7 linked regions of the Nothobranchius furzeri genome follow. The protein of the gene in region 5 purifies or fractionates together with the protein of the main gene of each other region. This does not show direct contact. Links are inferred from orthologs where the notes say so. Each region holds a gene or a part of one and is shown on either strand. Other genes may lie near its edges. The genes, in order: hnrnpub, cdc5l, heterogeneous nuclear ribonucleoprotein Q-like, sf3b1, ilf2, heterogeneous nuclear ribonucleoprotein R and stau1.

The links.
Region 1: the proteins of ilf2 (region 5) and hnrnpub fractionate together in Homo sapiens (co-fractionation; 3 studies listed by BioGRID and IntAct, with this or other methods). This does not show direct contact. The link is inferred for Nothobranchius furzeri from reciprocal best matches to the Homo sapiens genes ILF2 and HNRNPU.
Region 2: the proteins of ilf2 (region 5) and cdc5l purify together in Homo sapiens (affinity purification with mass spectrometry; 4 studies listed by BioGRID and IntAct, with this or other methods). This does not show direct contact. The link is inferred for Nothobranchius furzeri from reciprocal best matches to the Homo sapiens genes ILF2 and CDC5L.
Region 3: the proteins of ilf2 (region 5) and heterogeneous nuclear ribonucleoprotein Q-like fractionate together in Homo sapiens (co-fractionation; 3 studies listed by BioGRID and IntAct, with this or other methods). This does not show direct contact. The link is inferred for Nothobranchius furzeri from reciprocal best matches to the Homo sapiens genes ILF2 and SYNCRIP.
Region 4: the proteins of ilf2 (region 5) and sf3b1 fractionate together in Homo sapiens (co-fractionation; 3 studies listed by BioGRID and IntAct, with this or other methods). This does not show direct contact. The link is inferred for Nothobranchius furzeri from reciprocal best matches to the Homo sapiens genes ILF2 and SF3B1.
Region 6: the proteins of ilf2 (region 5) and heterogeneous nuclear ribonucleoprotein R purify together in Homo sapiens (affinity purification with mass spectrometry; 3 studies listed by BioGRID and IntAct, counting the BioPlex papers as one, with this or other methods). This does not show direct contact. The link is inferred for Nothobranchius furzeri from reciprocal best matches to the Homo sapiens genes ILF2 and HNRNPR.
Region 7: the proteins of ilf2 (region 5) and stau1 purify together in Homo sapiens (affinity purification with mass spectrometry; 3 studies listed by BioGRID). This does not show direct contact. The link is inferred for Nothobranchius furzeri from reciprocal best matches to the Homo sapiens genes ILF2 and STAU1.

What each region holds. Positions count from the first base shown.
Region 1 is NC_091742.1:29,996,062-29,998,551, forward strand, and holds part of hnrnpub (heterogeneous nuclear ribonucleoprotein Ub), read right to left. Parts: intron 1,741-2,490; coding exon 1,661-1,740; intron 1,587-1,660; coding exon 1,447-1,586; intron 1,359-1,446; coding exon 1,259-1,358; intron 780-1,258; coding exon 667-779; intron 321-666; coding exon 57-320; intron 1-56. UniProt on the Homo sapiens protein: DNA- and RNA-binding protein involved in several cellular processes such as nuclear chromatin organization, telomere-length regulation, transcription, mRNA alternative splicing and stability, Xist-mediated transcriptional silencing and mitotic cell progression.
Region 2 is NC_091752.1:40,119,977-40,122,978, reverse strand, and holds the end of cdc5l (cell division cycle 5-like protein), read right to left. Parts: intron 2,671-3,002; coding exon 2,563-2,670; intron 2,472-2,562; coding exon 2,382-2,471; intron 2,304-2,381; coding exon 2,172-2,303; intron 1,317-2,171; coding exon 1,236-1,316; intron 821-1,235; coding exon 707-820; 3' UTR 501-706; downstream 1-500. Other genes in the region: supt3h (transcription initiation protein SPT3 homolog), read left to right, coding at 374-415.
Region 3 is NC_091742.1:17,031,949-17,035,985, forward strand, and holds the start of heterogeneous nuclear ribonucleoprotein Q-like, read right to left. Parts: upstream 2,801-4,037; 5' UTR 2,661-2,800; exon of another isoform or gene 2,648-2,660; intron 1-2,647. UniProt on the Homo sapiens protein: Heterogenous nuclear ribonucleoprotein (hnRNP) implicated in mRNA processing mechanisms. Component of the CRD-mediated complex that promotes MYC mRNA stability.
Region 4 is NC_091754.1:36,036,838-36,040,337, reverse strand, and holds part of sf3b1 (splicing factor 3B subunit 1), read left to right. Parts: intron 1-232; coding exon 233-412; intron 413-483; coding exon 484-570; intron 571-904; coding exon 905-1,175; intron 1,176-3,500. UniProt on the Homo sapiens protein: Component of the 17S U2 SnRNP complex of the spliceosome, a large ribonucleoprotein complex that removes introns from transcribed pre-mRNAs.
Region 5 is NC_091751.1:23,258,300-23,262,561, forward strand, and holds the start of ilf2 (interleukin enhancer-binding factor 2 homolog), read right to left. Parts: upstream 2,801-4,262; 5' UTR 2,648-2,800; coding exon 2,643-2,647; intron 2,330-2,642; coding exon 2,270-2,329; intron 1,643-2,269; coding exon 1,600-1,642; intron 1,473-1,599; coding exon 1,368-1,472; intron 1,280-1,367; coding exon 1,202-1,279; intron 962-1,201; coding exon 859-961; intron 466-858; coding exon 400-465; intron 165-399; coding exon 48-164; intron 1-47. UniProt on the Homo sapiens protein: Chromatin-interacting protein that forms a stable heterodimer with interleukin enhancer-binding factor 3/ILF3 and plays a role in several biological processes including transcription, innate immunity or cell growth.
Region 6 is NC_091759.1:6,948,558-6,952,584, reverse strand, and holds the end of heterogeneous nuclear ribonucleoprotein R, read left to right. Parts: coding exon 1-107; intron 108-776; coding exon 777-912; intron 913-991; coding exon 992-1,197; intron 1,198-1,693; coding exon 1,694-1,843; intron 1,844-1,927; coding exon 1,928-2,049; intron 2,050-2,121; coding exon 2,122-2,728; 3' UTR 2,729-3,527; downstream 3,528-4,027. UniProt on the Homo sapiens protein: Component of ribonucleosomes, which are complexes of at least 20 other different heterogeneous nuclear ribonucleoproteins (hnRNP). hnRNP play an important role in processing of precursor mRNA in the nucleus.
Region 7 is NC_091743.1:66,049,759-66,052,648, reverse strand, and holds the end of stau1 (double-stranded RNA-binding protein Staufen homolog 1), read left to right. Parts: intron 1-93; coding exon 94-173; intron 174-2,075; coding exon 2,076-2,163; 3' UTR 2,164-2,390; downstream 2,391-2,890. UniProt on the Homo sapiens protein: Binds double-stranded RNA (regardless of the sequence) and tubulin.

The sequences.
Region 1 (2,490 bases), on a different chromosome or scaffold from region 5:
CAGGTTCTAGTCAGTCGCACCGTTATTCACACACCGCAGAGGTCCGTCACACACACCTCGCAGTCGGCCTTGGTCTGAGGCCCCTTCACACCCCTCACACGCTCATCGACGGGGATCTGCTGCATGAAGGTGTAGCCCTCAGGCTGAGGGAAGTACGGGGTCTCCATCTGGCCAAAGTTGAACTCCACAGCACAGTTGCGACAGATGACGTGAGGAAAAAGGGCCTGGCCGTTTAGAGAGTCTTTCTGGACCTGGAAGGCCACAGCTGGCTCTCCACCATTCTTGGAGAAGGACAGCACCACCTCCTCACCCTCAAAGTCCTGAATCGAGGAGGAAAGGCGACATTTTGGTTTAGAAAGATGTGGTGAATGTTCTAACCCTAGAACAATCTTCCTACGCCCCCTACAGGGGCTCAGAGGTAAAGCACCCACTCCTGCAGCTCTGGACCAGGCCTCTGGGAGGTTGCTGGTTCCATGCCAGGACACTGCTGCTCTTCTTTTGCACTACGTCCACTTTTTTCTAGTCTAGCTCAGCCTACTCACCTATCTCTGTGCCTGCACTGGCTCGTCCAGCCAATCACAGGAGGGGTCACGCCCTTTCCTACCGTACACCATGGTACGGGTCTAATGTGTGTCTGGAAGTTTTAAAAAAGGAATCTGGACTTACGATGAGGCAGCAGATGACGTCGTTCTCCTCGTACGGCTCTCCGAAGTCCTCGGTCACACAGTTGGTCGTCTTCTTGCCTTTCCAGGAGTAGCCGAAGGAAAACTCCTCCTCACCTGAACACCAACAGATTACCATCAGCAGCCACAACTCACCTCCGCTGGCATTCACACCAACATGCTATGTTGCTTACAGCCCACTAGAGGGAGCTGTTGAGTCGGTCACGCATGACCGCAGCTGCCTGACGTCATGACTAAATAAACACATGGGGTAGAGACTTCCCAGGCTAAATCTGATGTTATTTATATTTAAGAGAAAAACAAGATAAAACAACAATAAAAGACACGAAATCCAGTTCAGCAGCTGTGTGTTTGGTAAAAATGTGACCTTTGACCCTGATGAATGTCACACACAGCGCCATAATGAAACCCTACAGTGGGTTTAACATACGGACTGGACAGGCATAAAGACAGCTCGGCCTATCGCCGCTGGTCGTTAAACCGGCTTAAACAGGTTCTGCTGCTGCTTATGGAAGATGTGGTGCCAGGTGTGAGAAGCTAAACCCTCGTGTAGCTTCACAAGCTGCTTCACCGACCTAGGAGCAGCGAGCCGGTAGCCAGAGACCATCCGACCTGGACATCGTGAATCTCCAGGTTCTTGCTGGATATGTGCTTCACTGGAATCTTCTCTGTAACCTGCAATCACACCACACACGACTCTAGCAACACCACCAGTCGGGGTTTAAAACACCAGCGCTGCAGGAAGCAGCAGCAGAGGACTTACCTTCATCTCAAAGCAAGCCTTGCCTTGGTTTACACCGTGAGTGGCCTTGCCTCCAGACCAGAGGTACGCGAAGCTCTCCATCGTGAGGGACGAAGCGCTGTAACGGTCCCGCGACACCTTGAAGTGCAGGTCGCAGTTGTCTGCAGAACACAAACTTCCCGTAAACAACACCGGCATCAACGTGTCCCTGCAGGTCACCAACATCAACTCTTACAGCTGTCCAGGCAGACTTTGGTCTCATCAAGCTCCTCGTCCTCTTCCTCCAAGGGCGGTACCGGAGACTTAAACGAAGCACTGAAAGAAGACGGCAGCGAGTAAATTAGAGGATTCACGCGGGGGTGACAGTGGAGCACATTGATGTTCTTTGGGACCATTTGCTGAAAAACATCACAGGAGAGAAGTGGACGGGCTTTAAGAAAGGGAAACAGAACATGACTGAGCCTCACAAACCCTGGCAGGAACCGACTTACCCAACAGCATCCGCAGAAATCTAAAACGGGAAAGATACAGACCGTCGCCATCGCCCCGTGATGTTGATCAGATGTGAATATCGTCCAGGTGAGTGTGAGCTCAGGGCTGCTATGTGATGTGTGGGACCGCTGGATCATGTTGTGTTTTAAATCAAGACTAAGAATTAAAACTGGACATCATGAATCTATGAAACACCAGTCTGTGTCTGAAACCTTCCCTGGTGTCCTCACGCTGTGTAGCAGCCGAGTCTGGATCCCGTTCATACCAGGTGAACGAAGACTCTCGGCACCGTAGAGGTGATTTAATCCTTGTTCAAATAAAACCTCCAGATCTACGTTCAGCTTCTGCCCGTTCATCCTCGGTGTGCCAGCAGCGCAATGAAAACAAAACACTGACCGGTAATAGTTTCATGTACACACACACACTCACACAGGCCATGCATGATGTCACCTATGCAGGGGTAGAAACAGTCCTGCAAAAGTGCACGCACACACACACACACACGATACAGAAACAGCATCTGGACATCAGTCATCCAGTGAGATAAATGCACAACAAATGACAAACATCGAT
Region 2 (3,002 bases), on a different chromosome or scaffold from region 5:
AACTCTCTCATAATTTGATTCACCTGTGTGTGGAGGTCAAAGGTCACTGAGCTTCCCAAACCAATTTCGAGTTCCAATAATTTGTTCTAAAGGTTTTGGGATCAATAAAATGACAACAGTGACCAGATTTATGCACCGGCCTAATTTTGTTTAAACAATTATTTCACTTTCTGTAAACCCTATAAACTTTTTTACTTCTCAGATCTTAGTGCATCTCCTATATTTTTTATCATAACCAACGATTTATAAAGGAAAATCACGGAGATCAAAAAGGCTGCCCAATATTTCACACCCCACCGTATGGCTGTGACCTGCAGCATGTTTCCATCTTACCTCCTGGTGTTTGCCTAAGGTGTGGTCTCATTCTCCCCAGATTACCTACAGGAGGAGCGGGATGGCTTTCCTCACCTGCTGATGCATCAGCCCACATCTTTTTTCAAATGTAAATAATTTTATTTTTTATGTAATAAAACTTTTCAGTTGAGTTCACACCATTGCTGTTGGTTTTATTGTTGAAAAACTTTATTGGTCACTAGTACAGAAGCAAGGACTACTGAACACGCTCAAATCTCAGCTGCTGACACATCACGGCAAAATTAGCACACAGAGGCAAGGATTTCCACTGGGATACAGTCAGATGGTTACAGCAGGTTTAAGAGGAAGCATTGTTTTGAGTCATGAATTAATGAATCTATCGATGCGTTACTCAGAATTTCTGCGTACTGTTGAGCAGCGACTCCCTCTCCATCAGGAGCTCTCCGTATCGCTGCTGGAGTTCTCGCTCTCTCTCCATCTGCCTCTCCACATCTTCCCGCAAAGCCTAAAAACACCAGAAGGTCAAACAAAAAGCTTTACTTGGTGGTAAAACTTTGGTTTGTCACCAAGTAAAAGGATTTCCTTCTAGAAAATATGTTTCTGGGCAAACAGTTCTGATCAGTTGTTTGTTTTTAAATAATTACATAGTTTATCAAAAAATGGCAACCTCGTCACTGAGCCAATCAGATCATAACAGCAATGAAAATAAAACTGGAGCCTTTTTTTCTATTTATATATAAAGGCCTTGGAACATGACCAGAGCATGGCTGGAATACATATTAATGGCTTTTATCATTTTATATTTGAGTCATTTGAAAACTGAGAAAGTTAAAATCTTACTTAAATAAGATTGTGAACGTAAATCCAGCCTAACGCTCGGAATGAGCAGGTGTGTGTGTGTGCGTGTGTGTGAGGGTCACCTCCTGTCTCCTGGGAATGGCGAGGTCCTCTTGTTTTTTCAGTTGACTGAAGGTCTGGAGCTCCGTGGCTGCCTGCTCCACCTGGTGGACAAAACAAGCACAACATGTCAAAATAGAATAAATTTACAGTCGAAACTAACAGTGAACCTGTATTTAAAAGCTAAACCAGCTGTTAGTTTACTTTTACAACAACAACTGTTTTTGCTGATAAACTACGAGCGTCTAATGGTGCTGTAGACATGTGTAGTCAGTAATTTGGCACTTTAGTGCATCTTAGTTCAAATTTAAATATTCTGCCTAAAACCGTCAGTGTCCCTCTTCAGGTAAAAACTCTGCACAGCATTTGAATTTAAATCCGTTGTCCCTATGCACTAAGAGGTACCCTATGATGTAAGCTGGTACATTATGATGTCACGGTGTGTGTGTGTGTTCTTGTACATACTACATACTGAGGACCATTTTACCTACAAAGTGAGGACATTTAATTGGTTCTCACTTTTTTTTTTAGAAGCTTACTATACCAGTTAGAGGTTTGGTGTGAATTAAGTTTTAGTTAAGGTTAAGAATAGATTAGCATTGGTTATGGTTAGGGTTGGGGTATGGGTTAGGCATAGTGAAATCACAAAAATGAATGGAAGTCAATGGAGGGTCCTCACTATGATAGAAAGACAGACGTGTGTGTGGCTTCGCCCTCTTGGTTCACCAGCAATGCCTCCTTGTGTCGCATTTTTCAAACAGGAAATGGGAGTGGAGTTTGACTCTGGTAGGGGGTGACTTGCTCTTTAAGAGCAGAAACATGGAACTCTGGTTTGTACACATTAAGATAATTTTGTTTGGCATTAAATGATAAACATGGCGATCCATTTACCCTCAGATGTGTACTATTGACTCTAAAGGAGCATCTTCCTTCCATGCTGACACAAATCTGCTCATTACCTGTTCGTAAAGCTCATTGTGCTGCTTCAGGAGGCCCAGGGCTCTGGACTGAAAACCTCCCAGCAGGATCTTCAGTTTCTTCTCTAGTTTAGCCGCTCGCCGAGCTTCAGCTGTCATGTGACCACGGTTCACCTGCAAAGGGCAACGGAGCCGGGGTCAAAGGGCTGGGACTCACTCAGCTTTTTAATAATTACATTTTAACTTTTTCACCTCTAGTTTTTTCTCCAGACTTTCAATTCGATCTTTCTTTGAAGCCAGGTTGGCTCTGGTGTACCTGCTCTGACCAGGTAGGTACAACACCTGCACAACAACAGCATCTTCAGCTTGATGGCAGTAACCCCAGATTGGTTTCATTTGTTCATCTCCTTTTGTTCACTGTGAGGATGCTCACCTGCCCATAGCACTCCTCCCACACCTGAGTGTAGGCCTCCAAGCTGAGATCACCATGACCCATTCCTGCTTTCACCACGTCCATTTCCGCTGCCAGGATGGCCGTTGCCTGTTCAACAGATGATAGAATAATTACAACCAAACAGGAGGTACAACTCTGTTTAAAGCCGGACCACGCTGTTTTTCAGCCGTCGCTCAGGATCGCTCATGTCACACTAAGAACTCCAGAGAGGTGGCACACTGTGCAGTACAAGATTTCAGTGATCCAGATGGGACAACATCTTGCTCCAAGCAGGACACACGTCGCTAAAAGCAGACAGCTAACCAAAACAAAGCTGAAAAAAGCGCCACTGTTACTTCTTAGTCTCACGACCCAGCTCATCTTCCTCAAAGAGGAAGTATCGTTTTCAAAACCCTTGCTTTGGTCTCAGTCTGCTTTTC
Region 3 (4,037 bases), on a different chromosome or scaffold from region 5:
ATTAAACTGATAAGATGTTGATTCACTTTCATCGTCTTCCTCCTCCAACCTCCAGCGATCCCAACGGACAATAACAACTGGGGATGTATGCTTACCAAACTTTCTTTAACCGGCTAGCGACGCTCCGTAGCGGTCAATAGCCCCCCCCAAACATTTGCCTCGCTCTATGAATAACACTTTCTCCATCTACTCTTTAATACAATGACTCACGACTTAAGTCCCACACTCGTTATGTTTATGAACAAAAGTAAAGAGAGTGGGATGACAGCTGGATTGTCCGTCAGACTCAGCGGACCATCTGATCTCAGATACGCAGCGCTGCTTGTGATCACGTGCTGATAAGTGCAGTCTGGCCGCGGTTTTAACACCTAGTGTAATTATTTAGTTGAATGCAAGAAAACTTAATTTCTTTATTGTACTGGACAAATAAGGCATCAGGCATAAGGAGCGTCACGGCCGACGGACCTGCTGCTGGTCTCGGCTCGGCGCTCTGATGTGAGGCTTTTTGTGCTCCAAGAATGAAATAACGAAAGAACAAACAATAACCGCTAACTCTAATAACCGCTTGTGTTTCAGCACATTTGTTAGGTCTTGTGATGAGCTCATTTCTTCTTCTGCGGTCGCCCAGTAAACCATTTGACAGTGGCACTCTTGCGTCCTCTAGTGGCACAAAATATATTGCACCAAGCACAGCAGAAGGACTTGAAACAGTTAACTGGAAAAAACTAGTTTACCTGGTCACAACATTAAAGGCAATTAAGCAGTTAACTACGTGCATCCCTAATAATACGATAAGTCTGACGTGTTGTGTAAAAACAGCTGATTTTAGCATATTTGTGGGCCCAACATGTCGCTACCAGACATACAGTGTGAGCACGTAACTCGTGAGACTTGCTCTGCAAGGAAGTCGTACAGTTTGAGCTGAAACTCAACTCTACCAGTTAAAACACCGCCCAGTTAAAGGGCAAATTTTTATTTCCTGTGATGAAATGTAGATCCCTTTGCGTTGGTTGCACCAGCACATGTAACAGTTTGGACTGTTTACCATGATGCTTCTTTCATTTAAATTCAGTCTCGGAAATATTCCTCAGCTTTTAGTATCGCGATATTTTCTACTCTGTATCGCGATACGTATCGTATGAACATGCATCCCTAACTCTGAACACAAAGTTTTTACGACAGAATAAACCCCCTCAATGCTCTTGACTTACTAGTTTGATTATGAATCTTTTCTTATCCAGTCACATCTTATCAGTCTTACTCCACTCCCACTTCCTGTTTGAAAAATGCAACAAATGCTGTTGCCTAGCGCACGCACACACACACGAACACAGGTTCACAACAACATTGTGACATAATGTACCAGCTAACGTCATGGTGTACCTCTTAGCCAATAGCAATGTCAGATTTAAATTCAGCTGCAGTGCAGGGTGTTTACCTGAACACGGTGCGACACTGAGTTTTAGGAATATTATTTACATTTGAAGTATGATACACTAAAGGCCCAAATTATTGACTGCATGCGTCTACAGCCCGATTAGACACTAGTTTATATAATGTATCAGCAAAAGAAGTAGATTTGGGGGTGACTTGCTCTTTAAAGTTGATAACCCTGGTCCAATGGTCTAACCCTTGTCCTCCAGGGCCACCGTTCTGGTGTGTCTGCTCCAGTAATTGGTTTCTTAGGGAAGCGAACTGAACCAGGTGTGTTGGAGCAGGAAAACAACCAAAACATGCTACACGGTGGCCCGGGAAGACCAGCGTTAGATTGCCCTGGCCTAACTGTTGTGTTAGTGGGTAAATCTACCGATAACACCTGTTGTGATCCTAGACTGGTTTAAACACAGCTAACTGATCTGTTTCCGGGTGACTTCAGACAACAGCCGCCGGTATTTGGCGCCATCGAGCTGGACAGCGGACATCGTCTGACCACACTGATCCGGTTAGATCGTTACTAAACTGAAAACCCATCAGCGACAGATCGGAGTCGTTTAAAACAAACAAAAACATGGATAAGTAGCCCCAGAGCAGCGACCCGGTCTAATGGACCATAACTGCTGAAACCAACACTCACCACACCTGAGAGCGCGTGGGGCTCGAGTAATAATAATAATAATAATAATGCACTGAGTTTATATAGCGCTTTTCTAGACACCCAAAGACGCTTTCACACACTCTCACATTCACACACTTGTAGCCACAGCCGCCCTGGGGAGGTCTGACAGAGGCGAGGCTGCCATTTGGCGCCGTCGGCCCCTCTGACCACCACTAACACAGGCAAGTTGGGTGAAGTGTCTTGCCCAAGGACACAACAGCAGGATACCCCTGGCGGGAGCTGGAATCGAACCCATGACCCTCCGATCACGAGGCAATCCGCTCTACCACCTGAGCTACTGCTTCCCCCGTAGTAGGCCTCGGTAGTTACCGCGCCGACACCGGTGAATGGAGAACGTGTACCGTGATGTATTAAACACTGTTGGCTATGAGCCATAAGCTCTCCTTTCCCTGCATTACCCCAATAACGGCATCGATGGACGCGTGTCCGATTCTTTCCTCAAAAGACCGGTTAGCACAGCCGGTCGAGCAGCACGCTGTAGAGGCGCGTGCACGAGCCAAACTCGGGGCTACCATGTTTGTTGCTACCTACCACGCGAAGCTACCTGTGGGTGCACGATGCTGATCCGCCGTGTTGATGATAGTCCAAATTAAGAGAAACGTTAGCGCGGGTAATCTCTTGGTTGACACCCGGGATACAAAATGGCGTCTGTATAACGTCGCGAGCGCTGCTGCTTCATTTTAGCATAAACGGGGCTTCTGAGTGACCTTCGCAGGGGCTCCTCCGGTTTCACCACCGCCCGGTGAGCGATGCTATGGGATTAGATTTGTGCCAATAGGATCAAGAAAAACACTTTGAAGATCAAATATTAAGACATTGCGAGAGAAAAAAATTGTTTCAAAAGAAAAACTTATGATCTGAATCAACTTCTTAAAATGAGTAACAAAGTATGTTTCCTTTTTCTGTTTGCCTCTATGTGTTTTTGTTATCAGTTTCCTTAGTTTCGTTCTCGCTGCACACAGCTTAGCTCTCACTACCAGATTTGCACTTAAACTTTCTGGCTTTCTCTTTTGCAATCCCTGAGTTTTTGGTTGCAATTCTGACACAACCCTTTCGGGTGGGTGGGACTTCTGAGAAGTCCTCTCCTATAGGACAGTGGTTTCTCTTGAGTGACTGTTCAGTGACCCGGAAGTGATGTAGCCTCCAAGACATTCTTTTCCCACCTCGGTCAACAACATGAATTTTGAGCCCCAAACACATTATTTCTGCTGTCTGTGGTGTCTACTGAGGATCTAAAGTGACAATTGATGATATATTTGATCTTTTCTTAGTTAATCTGTAAATTAAGCCACTTTTTAAGTTGGTTTTAACCAGACGTTAGCTCACTAGCTAGCTGCTAAGCAAGCATTGTGCTAGCCTAAGGACAATGGTCTATTGTTCCAGAGAGACGTATTAAAAATTCATCTTAACATATTCATTACTGGTTTCATGGAATTAATTATTGCAGTTTATGTTAATAAGTTTGCTAATTTTTCAGGAACCTGTGGAACATCAGAGACTTTGCAGCTACTGGAGCTAACCTGTGTACTGCTAACTTGCTACAGAGGAAGCAGCAGAAAGCTGAGCTAACAGGCTAGTTTGCAGGTAAATACTCTTTTAGTGGAACTGTAGGATTTTTATGGTATAACTCAGACAGAATCTACATGAGCTATTGTGGGAAGACATTTTAACTACATTTACATACAGATACATGTATTTTTTCTTCCATGTTACTTGGACGGGCTAAACAAGTTCATAGTTCTGCCTGCTCCTTTTTCAGTGAAACGAATGGATTATATGATGTAACTCTGACTGAATAATAATCTAAGTGAGCATGTTTGATAATACATTTCTTACTAGTATACAGATCTGACATTTGTTTGTCAGAACAGGACAAATCAGATTCAACCGCTCAGATTGGTCACTTCAAACAAGGAAAATC
Region 4 (3,500 bases), on a different chromosome or scaffold from region 5:
CACAGACTTTTTGCTGTGACCTTCTGTATAGTGATGTTCGTTTGTTTAGGTTTATAAACTACAGCTAGTATTTTTTTTTCACAAAGTGCAAATAAAAAGATCAGCAGGTGCCAGTTTGTTCCACGTAGCAGAGAAAAGGTCTGCTTCAGCAGGCAGTTGGTGCAACCGCTAAACCAAAGTACTTCTGTGTGTTTGTGAGGCTTTTATCTGACGCGTCTCTTTTCTTTATCAGGCGGCTCTGCGTCAAATCACAGACAAAGCCCGTGAGTTTGGAGCTGGTCCCCTGTTCAATCAGATCCTGCCGCTGCTCATGTCGCCTACCTTGGAAGACCAGGAGCGCCACCTGCTGGTGAAAGTTATCGACAGGATTCTCTACAAACTGGATGACCTGGTTCGGCCGTATGTGCACAAGGTGGGTTCACTGCGGAGACGTGCATTTGTCTCTATGGATGTTGGCGCTCTAACCTGAGCTTTTCTCTTCAGATTCTCGTGGTGATTGAGCCTCTGCTCATTGATGAGGACTACTATGCTCGAGTTGAAGGCAGAGAGATCATCTCTAATTTAGCGAAGGTATTGTTTAGCTGCCATTTGCTTTTGTTGATGTAACAGAGAAATGACGCGAACCTTTCTCGCCTGGTTGACCAGTTTGTGGTCTGATCAGGGCTAGTTGTTCGCCAGATTGATACCAACATGAGAGCATGCAGACCTGACCTTAATGCCTAGTCTGTTCTCAACCTGCACCCGTTGGTTACAGTTCCTCTGCAAAGAAGCAGCATCTGTTAAATACTTCAGCATGAGTGCACAGTCATAGTTATAAAGTGTTTGTTCTGCTGACTGATGCTGTGTTTGGGCTTTCAGTGGTAATCAGAGTAACCTGTGAACTTGTTTTTCTCATGTTTTTAAGGCTGCTGGTTTGGCTACAATGATTTCCACAATGCGACCTGATATTGACAACATGGATGAGTATGTCAGAAACACGACTGCTCGAGCCTTCGCGGTGGTGGCCTCGGCTCTTGGTATCCCCTCCCTCCTGCCCTTCCTCAAAGCTGTGTGCAAAAGCAAGAAGTCGTGGCAGGCGCGACACACGGGCATCAAGATAGTACAGCAGATCGCCATCCTGATGGGCTGCGCCATTCTGCCTCATCTGCGTAGCTTGGTGGAGATTATCGAACACGGTCAGTCGGACCCTCATCCACAAATCTTTTAAAGCACCAATCACGTTCTGTTACAGGTGATCGCGTTAAAGCCATGACTCGGTGTGTTTTACACTGAGTAAAAAAGAAAAGGTTTAATCCTTTATAAATGACATTATTATTATTAGTGGGGACGTTCCATCACATTGGGTGAAAAGGATCAGATACAACCTTATAAATCAGCAAGCATAACCTTTTAAACTAACCCTGAGATTTAGGTGAAAGACTGTTGTCAAGCGCCTTGTGAGGTTCTGGAACTCTGTAAATACAGTCCTCTTACCAAAACGGTAACCATAACGATCTGCAGTAGTTTCTGTGGAGGTTAGGGCTGGGGGTAAACGATTATTTTTAAAACGATTATCCTGACGATTTTTTATCGAATAGTCAACTATTCTAGTGACTAGAGCAGGGGTCGACAACCTGTTCCCATCAAAGAGCCATTATTACCCGTTTCCCACAGTAAAGAAAACACTGGGAGCCACAGCAGCCGCGGCGTTGTGGGCGGGGCCTACCCTCAGACAGCAGAGCGCTGCCTTAACCAATCACAACAGGTGACAGCAGTCGGTACCGGTCGCTCGTGTACGTCAAAGTTATCTTTCATAAAAAAGATAATCAATAAAATGATTTATATAAAGTGGATCCAGAAGTTGTAGCCCGTCTCTGCCTACAATATTTTGATATTTTTCACCCTGTTGGTTTTACTGAGCAGGTGCCACTTTTGTCATACGTTTCTTTTTACAACATGTTTAGACTGTTCAGAATACAAATCCAGGCTCTGTCACGTTTGATTGTTGTAATTAAACTTTGTAGGTGGGGAAGGTCAGAAAAGGATCCGATCAGTTTGTTTTTCCCTCATTTACAGCAGCGGAGATAACGACGCAGTGCGCCTGGCTCTGGTGTTAATCAAGTTAAATTATATCTCTTTGCAACAATTTTCACAAGAAAACAAAACAGTTAAAAGCAGGGCTTGTGTTGTGTTGACCGGACAGTTCCCGTATTTGACCGTTTATTTTGACGGAGAAAGAATAGAAAGAATTACCCCGACGCATGCAGACAAACTGACATTTTATTCTACACACATCGCAGATGTAGCTAAATCACTCAAGAAAAGATTCCCATCTGAACATCTGAGCTGGACATTGCTCAGCGCAGCTCACTGTCAGCGCATACGTATGGTACACAGCGAGCTGAAGATGTGGAGAGGGGCTTGGAGCGCGTCGCAGAACCAGAGCGCATGCGTGAAGATTCCTCCCACTGAAGCGAGACTTGTCACTTAGAAAATGTTCCCTGATTATGAAACTTTGGCTGAATAGCGCTTGTTCCTGTCTCCAATGTGGCGACACATCCAGGAGCCTGTCTGAGGAGAATCCCAGAATCTCACATCCTCTTCAGCTCGGAAAGTGCCTATGATTACGCACAAGCGTGACGCGTCAACCCGGTCTCACAGTAAGACTGGGTTGGACCTGTTCAGGTTTACGCAGACAACCTTTACATTTAGAATTAGCTTACAGATGTAAAATTAATGCAGTAAAATATAAAGCATTTTATTTAAATATCCATTCATTATTTTACAAGCATAGAGAGCCGCATCAGATGGATGGAAGAGCCACATGTGGCTCCAGAGCCGCGGGTTGCCGACCCCCGATTTAGACAATTAATCTAGTAATTATTTTCTTATTGCATAATTAATAAAAACAAGAAAATCTCTTAATAAATTCCTCCAAGAAATTGATCAATTGTTACTGTAATAGAATAAACGCTACAGACCTTCCATTTTGTATAACACTGCTTTTATTGTGTTGCGGTTGGTTATGTTCTGGTGACGTGTAGAACTTGGGAATGCAGCCTGCTGCCTGAGAGGTGGTTGGAGAAGGAGTGTCTCCATGCTGCTTTGTTTTGGTCACTTATGTGTGTGAGGCGAGTGGTGTTATGACCCTTCCTGGGGAGTTTGGCTCGTGTGCAAAAAGGAAGGGACAATAGCGGGATTTAAAAGTTAAAATGATGATCAGGGTTCTTTACAACTACAAAAAAACATAAATCTTTCCATCCACAGGTTGGGAATAATAAAACTAATTCTGCCCGTGGGGAATTAAAACAAAAGTACAAATAAGTAGGGATGTCCCACTGGGCAAAGATTACAGGGTTCTGGACCAAAATAAGGATCTGCAAAGGTCCAAACTCTAAACTGGGCGGTTAAACCAAACTCACGGTGATATCTTAAACTAAACCAAAAACCCACAACACTCTAAATGTAATAAAAGGGAGATCTACACCACAAAAACGATGAACTCTAAACCAAAACGTAAC
Region 5 (4,262 bases):
GTGTGTGTGTGTGTATGCATGTGTGGGTGTGTGTGTGTGTATCATACGGTGCAGCTCTGGATCCAGCTTGCGTAGGTTGGGCGGGACAGTGGTGATGAGGATCTTAACGGTTGCATCAGCTGAGCTGATCTCAAAGCCCGTCTCATTGGTCAGCATGGAGAGAACTGAAAGCGCGGGTGCACACACACACACACACACACACACACACACACACACACACACACACACACACACACACACACACACACACACACACACCATTAGTGTTTATTACATCATTAACTCACTAAAGATGCTCACTCTGTTTCTTGAGGGCACTCTGACCAACTTCAGCCTTTAGGTAAGGTCCAGAGCTGCAGATACACCCCCCCACACACACACACAGACCCACCCCCGTACCTTCTGCGGGGTCCTGGGTGCGAAGAGTCTCCACCACCTTGTTCCCGAGCGCAGCCACTGCCTCCACTGTTAGATTAAACATGAAGAGCAGAGTCAGCTTTAGCTCCAGGTGTTTAACACTGGACTCAGTATTAATCACCACTCTACCGACGGTATTCGGGGTTTAAATGACACCAAGTTGCCTCATAAACACATTTAGGATTCAGACACTTCTGTTCTCGAGTTCCTGTACGGTCTGACGAGTTTCGTCATCACTGTTAAGCTTAAAGAGGCTAAAGCTAAACAGCTTAGCTGCTGGATAGCCGGTCCGGTCGGGCTGCATGATGGGACTAGCCATGTATTTACCAACACGAGTCCAGATGTGCTCAGTGGTTTCACCAGAACATCTGTTGAAGCTGTTCCAGCAGGATGAGGCCCTAGTGACGGACCCAGGGCTGGTCTGAATGAACAATGACTCACGTGTAGGGAGGATCTTGAGGATGACAACGAGGTCAGCGACGTTGTGTCCAGTTGTCATGGTTCCCTTCTTGTATGAACCCACCTGACGAACTTCTTCTATTTGCTGTGGACAGATAACGTAAGCATGCGGGATGGCTTTGATGCGTTCTAAAAGATAAAACCGCTCAGCTACATAAAGCTCAGCCTGTGGGAGGTCTAGGAAGGTCATGACGGAAGAGAAACATTTAATCCCAGATTAGGACGTGACAGCAAACACAGATCATTACAGCCTTACTGACACCAACTCATTTACACCAGTTTCAGTAAACATGGCAGCTCTACAGGTCAGATGTTCACCACTCACCACTTCAAAGCTACCAGGGGCAACAATCAGGTTGTCGATGACATTATTGATCTTTGTGACCAAAGACAAGATGGAAGACTAGAAGCAGAAGGAAATGAAGACGTCAGGTAAGTAACCTACAGCACGATGAGACCAGTGAGGTGTTGAACTGGAATACCTAGCTGACCTGTTCTGCAGGTGAGGGGCTCAGGTCCTGGTTCCTCTTCAGCAGACACTCGCTAAACGCCGTCTCATCAGGAGCAGGTTTCACTCTGGGGAAGGCCATCTCACACTGGGGAAGGACAACAGTCTGCTTCAGAACCACAAAATGGACCGGATTCTACCAGATGCTAGTTGTAGCCATGGTTACTGATTATTCCTGCATGCTGTTCTGTTGTCTGTCACATGCGTGAACTCACCACATAGAAGTCAAATGGGATGTGCGGGACAAAAGGACGGTACCTGAGCGGGACAGAGAGAAGAACGGAGAATCGGTGGACTGGCACAAATGTCCCTACTAGTCAGAACCAGAACGTCTGACCGGGACCTTATGAAAGCTGATGTTCAAACCCAAAAAGTAGATTTTAACAATGATTTGGAGGTTTCAGTTATAACCAAGGCAGCGGTTCTTTTTGCTTCAGCACAATAACCAACAATCCGTCTTAGCTTCATCACCAGGACCACGCACAACATGAGCTGATGATTCCAGACTTTACAGCAGCTTTTTAAGGATCCAGAAATCAATGGATTGTTTCATTTGGGAAAAAATGAAGTTTAAAGAGACAGAAACAGGACGCTGCTTTCAGACAGGATGGAAAGATCTAACTGCTCTGAAGAAGTCCTTCTGGAGATGTTCTGGGGAGAGTGCCGTCGTCCTGTGTAATCACAAGAGGCTTCTTTTTCCACTTCTGAAGATCTTTCTCACTTAGACTTTTCTACTCTGATGGCTTATGGGTCCGAGTTCCATCCAGAAGCAGGAATCGAACCAGCAAACTTAAGACTAACTGTCAGATACTTTCTACAACCAGATCAAGGACCTGACTGAAAGAACCAGTATGGAACAGGAACAGAGATCAGTAAGGTACTCACCCCTGGACCATGCCTCCCCGGGCTCCGAAGCGGAGTCCTCGGCCCCTGCCGCGGTCTCCTCTGTTCACAAACACAAAACCCAGATCAGTCCAGTGCGCTCGCTACTGCCAGACTAAAGGATAAATAAAAACGCTGATCTTAGCTAACACACGTGTGTTATAGTCCTAATTCGCTACCTCAGTGTTAACTTGCTGTCGATAAAACGTAAGAGTTATCAGTAACACTGTTATTGGAGGAATAAATAAGTAACACCACGTTCAGAACGAGACTTTAACAGAAAGCTATACCGAGCTAATGGCTAACAGCTAATGACACTGATTACAGGCTAGTTAGCGTAAAGCCAACACAACCAGGTCCGGTTAGTCAGCGTTACCTCATTGCGTACGACGTTTTGATGGTTTGATGAGAGAAAACAGGGAGAACGGTTTGATATGGTTTAATGAATGAGCGGAGGCTAACTGCGGAAGGGACTAGTGTGGCACAAAGAGACTTCTGTTTCCGGCGGAATTGTTTCTTTCTTTCTGTTTTACGTCACCAACGCCGTGGTACATTACCGCCCCCAACTGGAATGGAGTGTGGACCGCATAGATATCACATATTATAGCTAGATGCGCTGTTTTTTTTATTTATTGGTATATTTTTTTGCTGCTGCCATAGCGTAACTTTATTCATTCACGTCTTTCTGGTCAAGTCTCTTTTTTAACTTTATTTCAATCTTCGTTTTCACATACATTCAGTTTACAATGTAACCTACATTCAACGTACTGAAGAATATAACAAATACAAATGACCGCACTTGAGGAAAATAAAAATGACATTTAGAACTTGCAACATTTACCGCATGGCACTACCATAAAATAAATTATGATGCAAAATAATAATAATTAAAACAAAAAATAAAATAACATCAACAACAAACAAAAAACGTTCAGAGGTTGATATTTCAGCATTATAGTTCAAACATGTTTGATTCATTGGACTGTAATTTAAAGAACAAGAAACTCAGACATTGTTTCGCACAACTCAGTTATAGATTGGTTATTTTCTGAAAATACTCTTTGAGATGTTGTAAATTGTTTTATTTAATTTTTAAAATGATTAATGTTAGGCTTGCTGTTTTTCCATTTAGTCTTATGTATTTGGTAATGTTCACCATTTTGGATATCTTTTTTGGAAGAGCATCCATGTATATCAGTACTTTAGATTACATCATTTCTCTCAATATTTACCAATCGATAAACATCCTCCTCAAAACCAAGTGTTACTGAACACGAGAAGAAAAAGGTGCTCAATAGTTTCACATTCTGTCATACAAAAGATGCACTGATTCTCACCTGCGCTGTTCGTCAATGGACCCTGACGTCCGTACGCGGCAGCCATCTTACTTCGGACAGCTGCTCTCCTCTAGCACTGTTGTTTAGTGGTGCATGAGGGGGAATTCAAGATGGCAGAGTGAGCAGGTGCTGGAAACTTGGCAGGTCTGATAAAACGGTGGGTTTTAAATGTTCTGAGAAGTAATTCTCTGATAAACAGTTATTCAGAACGAAATTGAAAGGAAATCGGTACCTGTGGAACATGTTTTTGAAGAGTTATTGGACAGATAAAGTAGCAAACACAAAAAATCAAATGACTAACATGGCGGCGCTAATAGGTAGTCTTTCCGACCATGACTACAACCTTGCGGCAATGAAGGAAGCATGTGCGGACGAAGACATTGAGGAGATGGAGCATCAACAGATAGCAGCAAGACCCACTGGTGATCACACTCCAATAAAAAGCCCCAATCAAAAAAAAAAACCTGAAAAATAAAGCTACTGGCAAACAGATATGCAATGAAAACATCTATGAAGCCCTGCTGGCCTTTCCAGAAAGATTTGATCTGCTAGACAAAAATCTGAAAGCTTTTGACCTTAGGATAGAGGCAAATGGCAACTGAAGAAAACAAAAAGGAAACAGACAAGCTCAAAACAAGGATGGAGGCTTTAACGAAGGA
Region 6 (4,027 bases), on a different chromosome or scaffold from region 5:
CCATCTGGGACCTCAGGTTAATGATGGACCCCCTGTCTGGTCAGAACAGAGGTTATGCTTTCATCACATACTGCAATAAAGATGACGCACAAAAGGCTGTGAAGCTAGTAAGTCTTACTCTATAATACAAAAAAAACACTAGTCAAATTTCAGTTCCTAATAACACAAGAACATTTATATAAAGGGATACTTTGCAACTTTTTCGTAGTTTTAAAATAATTTTCATGAGCCAGTATGTGCTAAAATGACCTTTTACAGGCTCTAATTTCCCTCTGGGGTTAATAAAGTATTATTGAATTGAATTAATGAAAGGCCACTCAGCTCCTATTGTGACCAAAATATTCCACTTTCAACTTCTGATTCGTGGGCTGCTCTGTTGGGATTTTAAAAAATGTAGCTGAAATACCTGGCACTGCAGTCTGGTTCCAGCACATTTCCTGCATGTTTTAGATCATGAACACAGCCGATTTGTTAAGTTTAGTGATGAGTCACTCCTGTAGACACTAATGAAGGATGAGGAGACATTTCAACATTTCGATTAAGGTGTTAAAAAGACAAATGCACAGCGAGGAAATAGGTTTTGCTTTCGGTTCGACAAACGAACACTGGGGGGTGCTAAAAGCCAGCAAAACTGCCTAGTTCCCCTTTAAGATAGTAGCTAGTTCACTTTATTAAAGATACATGTAAGCCCATAGCAAAAGATGGATAATTGTGTTTTATAAGAAATTCCGTGTCTGTTGTGTGAAATTTTTTTTACCTTTCTTATTTGTTTTCAGTGTGATAACCATGAAATTCGCCCTGGCAAGTACTTGGGAGTTTGTATATCTGTTGCAAACAATCGCTTGTTTGTTGGATCCATTCCCAAGAACAAGACACGGGAAAGTATACTGGAGGACTTTGGGAAAGTGACAGGTTTGTTTTGAGTGCAGTTATAGATTTTATCAAACCAATCTTGACAATACTGGAAGGCTTGTTTTTTTTCACCCCACAGAGGGTCTGCAGGATGTGATACTGTATCACCAGCCAGATGACAAGAAGAAAAACCGCGGTTTCTGTTTTCTGGAGTACGAGGATCACAAGTCTGCAGCACAGGCACGTCGCCGCCTAATGAGTGGGAAGGTCAAAGTGTGGGGCAACCCTGTGACAGTGGAGTGGGCTGACCCTGTTGCTGAACCAGACCCAGAAGTCATGGCCAAGGTCAGTAGTCCATGTTTTCTTCAGAAAATCATTCCCCAGCTCCCAGCGTTAAAAATAGGGATGTGTATCGATGAAAATCTGGCGATACGATACGAATCACAATACAGGGTAGACAATACGATGTATTGTGATACATTCGGCCAGACATTATTAGCAAGTTTTTTAGATTGAATTTATTGTAGGAAAATTCAATAAACAGTCCAAACTGATACGTAACATGTTTAACATGAGGTATCTGAACCATAGTAGAGGGATTTAAATTTCAGAGGTGGCAACAAAACCCATTGCACACTGCTGCTGGCTAGTGGTCAGCATTTGAATTGCACCAAAAGAAAAGAAAGTAAACAAATGTTTGCATGCAAATTCTTCCAGAAACTTCATACACGGCTTTTGAATATCGATGTAATATTGCAGGAAATAATATAGCAATATATTGCTGTTTCGATATTTTCTTATGTTCCTAAATAAAAGACTAAATTGTTTTCTGTGATCTTAGGTAAAAGTGCTTTTTGTCAGGAAGCTGGCTACAGCTGTGACTGAAGAACTTCTGGAGAAAACCTTCTCCCAGTTTGGGAAGCTGGAACGGGTGAAAAAGTTGAAAGACTATGCTTTTGTCCATTTTGAAGATAGGGATGCTGCTGTAAAGGTGGGTTTTTTTATGAAATAATCAGCGTAATACTAGTGCGTCATGTTTCTCGGTACTTGACAGTGATGGTTTGCTCTTTGACAGGCTATGGATGAGATGAATGGGAAGGAGCTTGGAGGTGAGGTAATTGAGATTGTTTTGGCAAAGCCCCCAGACAAGAAAAGGAAAGAGCGCCAAGCAGCTCGGCAGACCACCAGGAGTGGCGGGTGAGCCTAAATGGAAACATGTGGTTGGTCAGTTGCCCAGAACAACATATTCATGAAATTTTCATCCTGCAGGTATGATGACTACTACTACTACCCACCTCCACGCATGCCATCACTAGGCAGAGGAAGGGGTCGTGGTGGCCGGGGAGGCTATGCCTATCCACCTGATTACTATGGCTATGACGATTACTATGACGATTACTATGGCTACGATTATCACGACTACCGCGGTGGCTATGAGGACCCTTACTACGGCTATGAAGATGTGTACAGCATGAGGAGTCGTGGTACTCGCCCCAGCAGGGGTGGACCTCCACCACCTAGGGCTCGCGGGGCTCCAACAGCACGAGGTCGGGGTGGCTTTGCACAAAGGGGGCCACCCCTTGGAGGTCCACGTGGCGCTCGAGGAGGACGTGGAACCCCTTTCCAACCTCAGAGGGGCCGTGGTCCTCGCGGTGCCAGGGGTAATCGTGGCGGGAACGTTGGCGGAAAGAGGAAGGCAGATGTGTTTACCCAGCCCGACTCCAAGCGCCGCCAGACCAACAACCAGCAGAACTGGGGGTCCCAGCCCATCGCCCAGCAGCCCTTGCAGCAGGGGGCCGACTATTCCGGTAACTATGGTTACAGTAATGACACCATGGAGTTTTCACAGGATTCTTATGGGCAACAGTGGAAGTAGATGCACCAAAAGGTATTTGGCAACGACAACAAAAAAAGAGGAAAACAACAATAAAAAGAAAAAAAAAATCAGGAGATTGGCCACAATTTTTGATTGACTTTTTATTCTTCATCACGTGTGAAAAAAAAAGATCTGTACGTATCTCAGAAAAAATGGACACACTGCAGAATTGGCTCAAGATGATTGGCTGGAAATGTTTTTGGCTGAAGAAATGAACGTACCCCTTGAGGTGAATCATTTCTTCCTGCTACAGTCTCATTTGGACGTGTCTTTACAAAAATTGCAAAAAATTTACGCTTTTATTGTTACTTTTTGTTCCTGTTTTTTTTAAAACCAACAAAGAACGTTAACAAAAAAAAGTGGACATTCGTTTTAAAATATCTGAGAGGACGTCAAAAAATGCATATGTCCTTAAGTTTTTTGTCCATGTCCCCCTCCCCATTCTTGTACTCCCTTAATTTGTGGTTTCTTGTAGTTGCTTAGGGATTTGCTTGTAAATAAATGCATATCGTTATAGCTTCATACATCATTTTTTGCGAGGGTGGAGAAAAGAATCCACAAGAAGGAAGAAATCAAAGTTTTGTATTGTTCGAAGTGTATGCATAGCATTTCTAGAGATAGACGAATTGTGTTTATTTGTTTTTTTAACTGATACCATAACTTCCTTGTTTTCATTAAACTTGCCCGGTAGAATTTGGTTTGGCTGACCTTAAGAGCCATAGCAGTTTGTTCTCTGATGTTATTTGTATTTATAACTTTTCCGTTTTGTTCAGTTTCAATAAAACTCAGCTGAGCATCAGTCAATTGTCAAATACTCAAATTCAGTGTTTGTCCTTCACTACTTGATTTGATCCATAACCTCCAATTGTCACATTCGGAAGATCTTTTTTGTCAAATTTTGTCAGCAGTGCAAAAGACTAAAGAACTAGAGAGTTCTGCTTGTCGAGTTGGATTTGAACCCTTTATTCTTCAGTGTTTCGCCCAAATGGCTGTGATCCCCTTACAAGAACACTCATCCTGTAAAGGTGACCGCTACCATTCTCATAGGTTGTTCCCATTTCAGTAGAGCTAATGCTCCTTCAGTAAATGTCTTCAGCCACTAGGAAAATACTCAGTGTACTTTATATTTAATACAAAATTCACAACACTGTTTTCACGTGGATGTAGTTGGAGATTGGCTGACATCTATTAAAGCTTTCACTAAAATTTTAAAAGTAAGAACAAGTTTGGAAAATAGTGAGTTGTCACTTCAACCCTAATAAGTTGACACACTCACCTGGCCTTTCCATTGGATTCGTA
Region 7 (2,890 bases), on a different chromosome or scaffold from region 5:
GTTTCTGAAACACCCACACTTTTTCTAAAAGCGTTGTGTTTTCATGTTTATGTGGACTGCCAGAATAGTAAACAATGTTTTTAACCTTCACAGGCTGCACTGAATATATTAAAGATACTCGCTGAGTTGGACCAGCAGCCAAATGAAAGGACAGAAAATGGACCAGCCTCGGGGTAAGCTGTGAGGATTGGCTGAGCTGACCTTTTGTTTTTCATAAAATGTTTCGTCTTGCTAATATTTGAACTCGCCCTGAAGCTCCTGTCAGTGGAACAGAGTCAGATATTTTAACTGTGTCAAGAAGTTTGTCAGTCAGGACTGTGAATGTCTTACTTGTTTGGGGTTTTAAACTGTTGAAAAGTTATTTTTCTTGAGTGAAATTATAAAAACTGAATCATTATGAAGGCCGTTTACACACGGAGCCGAGGTTTCATAAAACAAACCACCCCCACCCCCCCGTGCGCGCGCGCGCTCACGCCACCTCGTGCAACCCAGTGCATTGTAAGGCCATGCATGCTAAGCTGGTTGGTGGCAGTAGTTCCCCAAATCTCCTGCGTCTTTGCCAAAAAATTTTCCTTGCAGCGGAAATTTTGTTGACGATATAATATATATATATATATATATATATATATATATATATATATATTAAAAAAAAATATATATATATAATGTTGTCAACAATATATATATATATTTACGACAAATACATTTTTGCGGACTAAAACAAAACAAATAAATTAATGTGCACATCTATGAAGACTGAATTATAACGGATGTTGTTTGATATTTTCGTCAGTGAATAAAAGACGACAGTGTAGACTGACAATAACGAATATTGAATCAGAAAATGAAGAATATTTGGAAATTTGAATAAAAGAACCGGTCAGCAAATGAAGCAGACAGGAATAGACGAGGAAAGAGCCAATCAGAGTTCGGACTGGAGCCGGCCGCTGTTACAACAAGTTGCCGGTAACGGTTGAACAATTTGTGTCTAAAAGCAGAAAATGCCCACAGCCGGGAGGAAAATCTTTAAATGTGACAATCTGAATAATGTTTGCTTGGTGAGTTCCCATCTGGGGTTTCCCCTGGTTCTTAAAGGGTTAGGGTGGTGGCAGCAGGCGGGGCTGGGTGAGGCCAGGAGTGGATTTCTGCTGCCGGTGCTGAGCTGTTGCCAAACCAAACTCACGGAGCTGCACACCTAGCAGAGCTGCTACGCCCGATAAGCATTCGTTGTTCTAGCATTTTTTTTGTGAGGGAGGGGGAAAAACATTCATGCGGCCTACCTTGGTAAATGAGTGCATGGAAACTAATAAACACGCCTGAAAACATTTTTTACCTTTTAGTTTACCTCCTCGCGTTATTAGGAAAACACCTTTTATTGTTATATGGTATTATGTCATATCATGTTTAGAAATATTACTTATACATTATACATTATATAGATTTGTTTATTAATACTGGGAGACACAATTCTAAACAGTCAGATTTCATTTTGGTATTTTCCATGATTTATTATTATTTAAAACATTTATAAAACAGTTTTATTGATCCAAAGTGTGAAATGTGAATTTTTTATATTTCTTTACAGTTTCAAGTAGCTGTATTTGATATTTCCTTTGCACAAGTTGAAAATTATTGCATCAGATGAAAAATACATATATTTTAGTCAACTAAAATAGGACTCTAAACAAATATGATGTGACAATTAAAGAGAATTAGCATGTGAAATAACTAGGTAGTGGGGAAACCTCTGTCCTAACGTTGCCCTTTGCTTGCTGCCTTCTACACTGAATAGTAATGGCGCTTGTAGAAAGAGCATTTTTGTCTCGGGCAGTGTGAAACCTAAAACTTGGTTACTAACGTTCACAAACAAATCCTGAAAACAGAATCTGCAAACCTCCGCTTTGGTCAAACTTTTTCAAAGTCTCATTTGTGGTGCTGTTTATCTTAACTTTGGTGTGGATGACGGGTCAAACCGCAGAAAATATTTTTGTTTAATGGGATACCTAGCAGCTATAGTGTTATTTATTGTGTATAATAATAGTGAAACCATGTGTTTTAATCATTTATTTCCTCAGATGTGGAAAACAGGAGCTGGAAGGCGACTTGCACCTGAAACAGGCTAACTCAAGCACATTGGCACAGACGCTGGATAGCAAAGCTTAGCTGGGGTTTGGTTGCCTGTCAAAGAGAAAACTCACTGTGTTCTACGGATGCTTGGAAAAGCCCTAATCTATCACTGCTCTTATCGATTGTTACAAAGTTTTCACAGTTAAACAAGATTGATAGGAAAAAATAGACTTCTTCTCCTTGATGTTGTTTAATTGTACACATTGTTATTTTTTTTATTTGCTCTATAGAGAAAGTAGCTGCATCCTAGCCAATCATTTTGGAGGTGTATTTGATTTGAAATAGGAGTAACTGTGAACTTCCTTTGGTTTTAAATGTCTGTGTTTTATCCCCACTGAAGTAGTTTAAGTTTCAGGCCTTGTTTTCATTTTTGTCTAGGATGCAGTTGCTGTTGATTTTCCTATAGTGCTTTATGGCCCTTTGTGTTAATGTGTTGTAATTTAATGCCACATTCTCCATCCTCATGAAGCTACAATAAAGTTTTGTGCTAAAAGCATATGTAACCCACACACTGTGTTTGGTTACTAATAGATTAATAGTGTAAGAGCTGCGGTTTTTGACCCTCGGCAGTGCCTGCAGGGGGCGGGCTCAACTCTCCGGTTGTGTGCACGCTCGTTGATTAAGGGCGAGACAATTAAAGAAAAAGGAGAGCTGATCCATGTGAGCAGTGAGAAATGGAGAACGGTTATAATTATAAAAAAATTAATAATAAACCTGAAACCCAAGAAGATAAAGTGTGTGAGAAGTGCTGTTTGGTGTGATA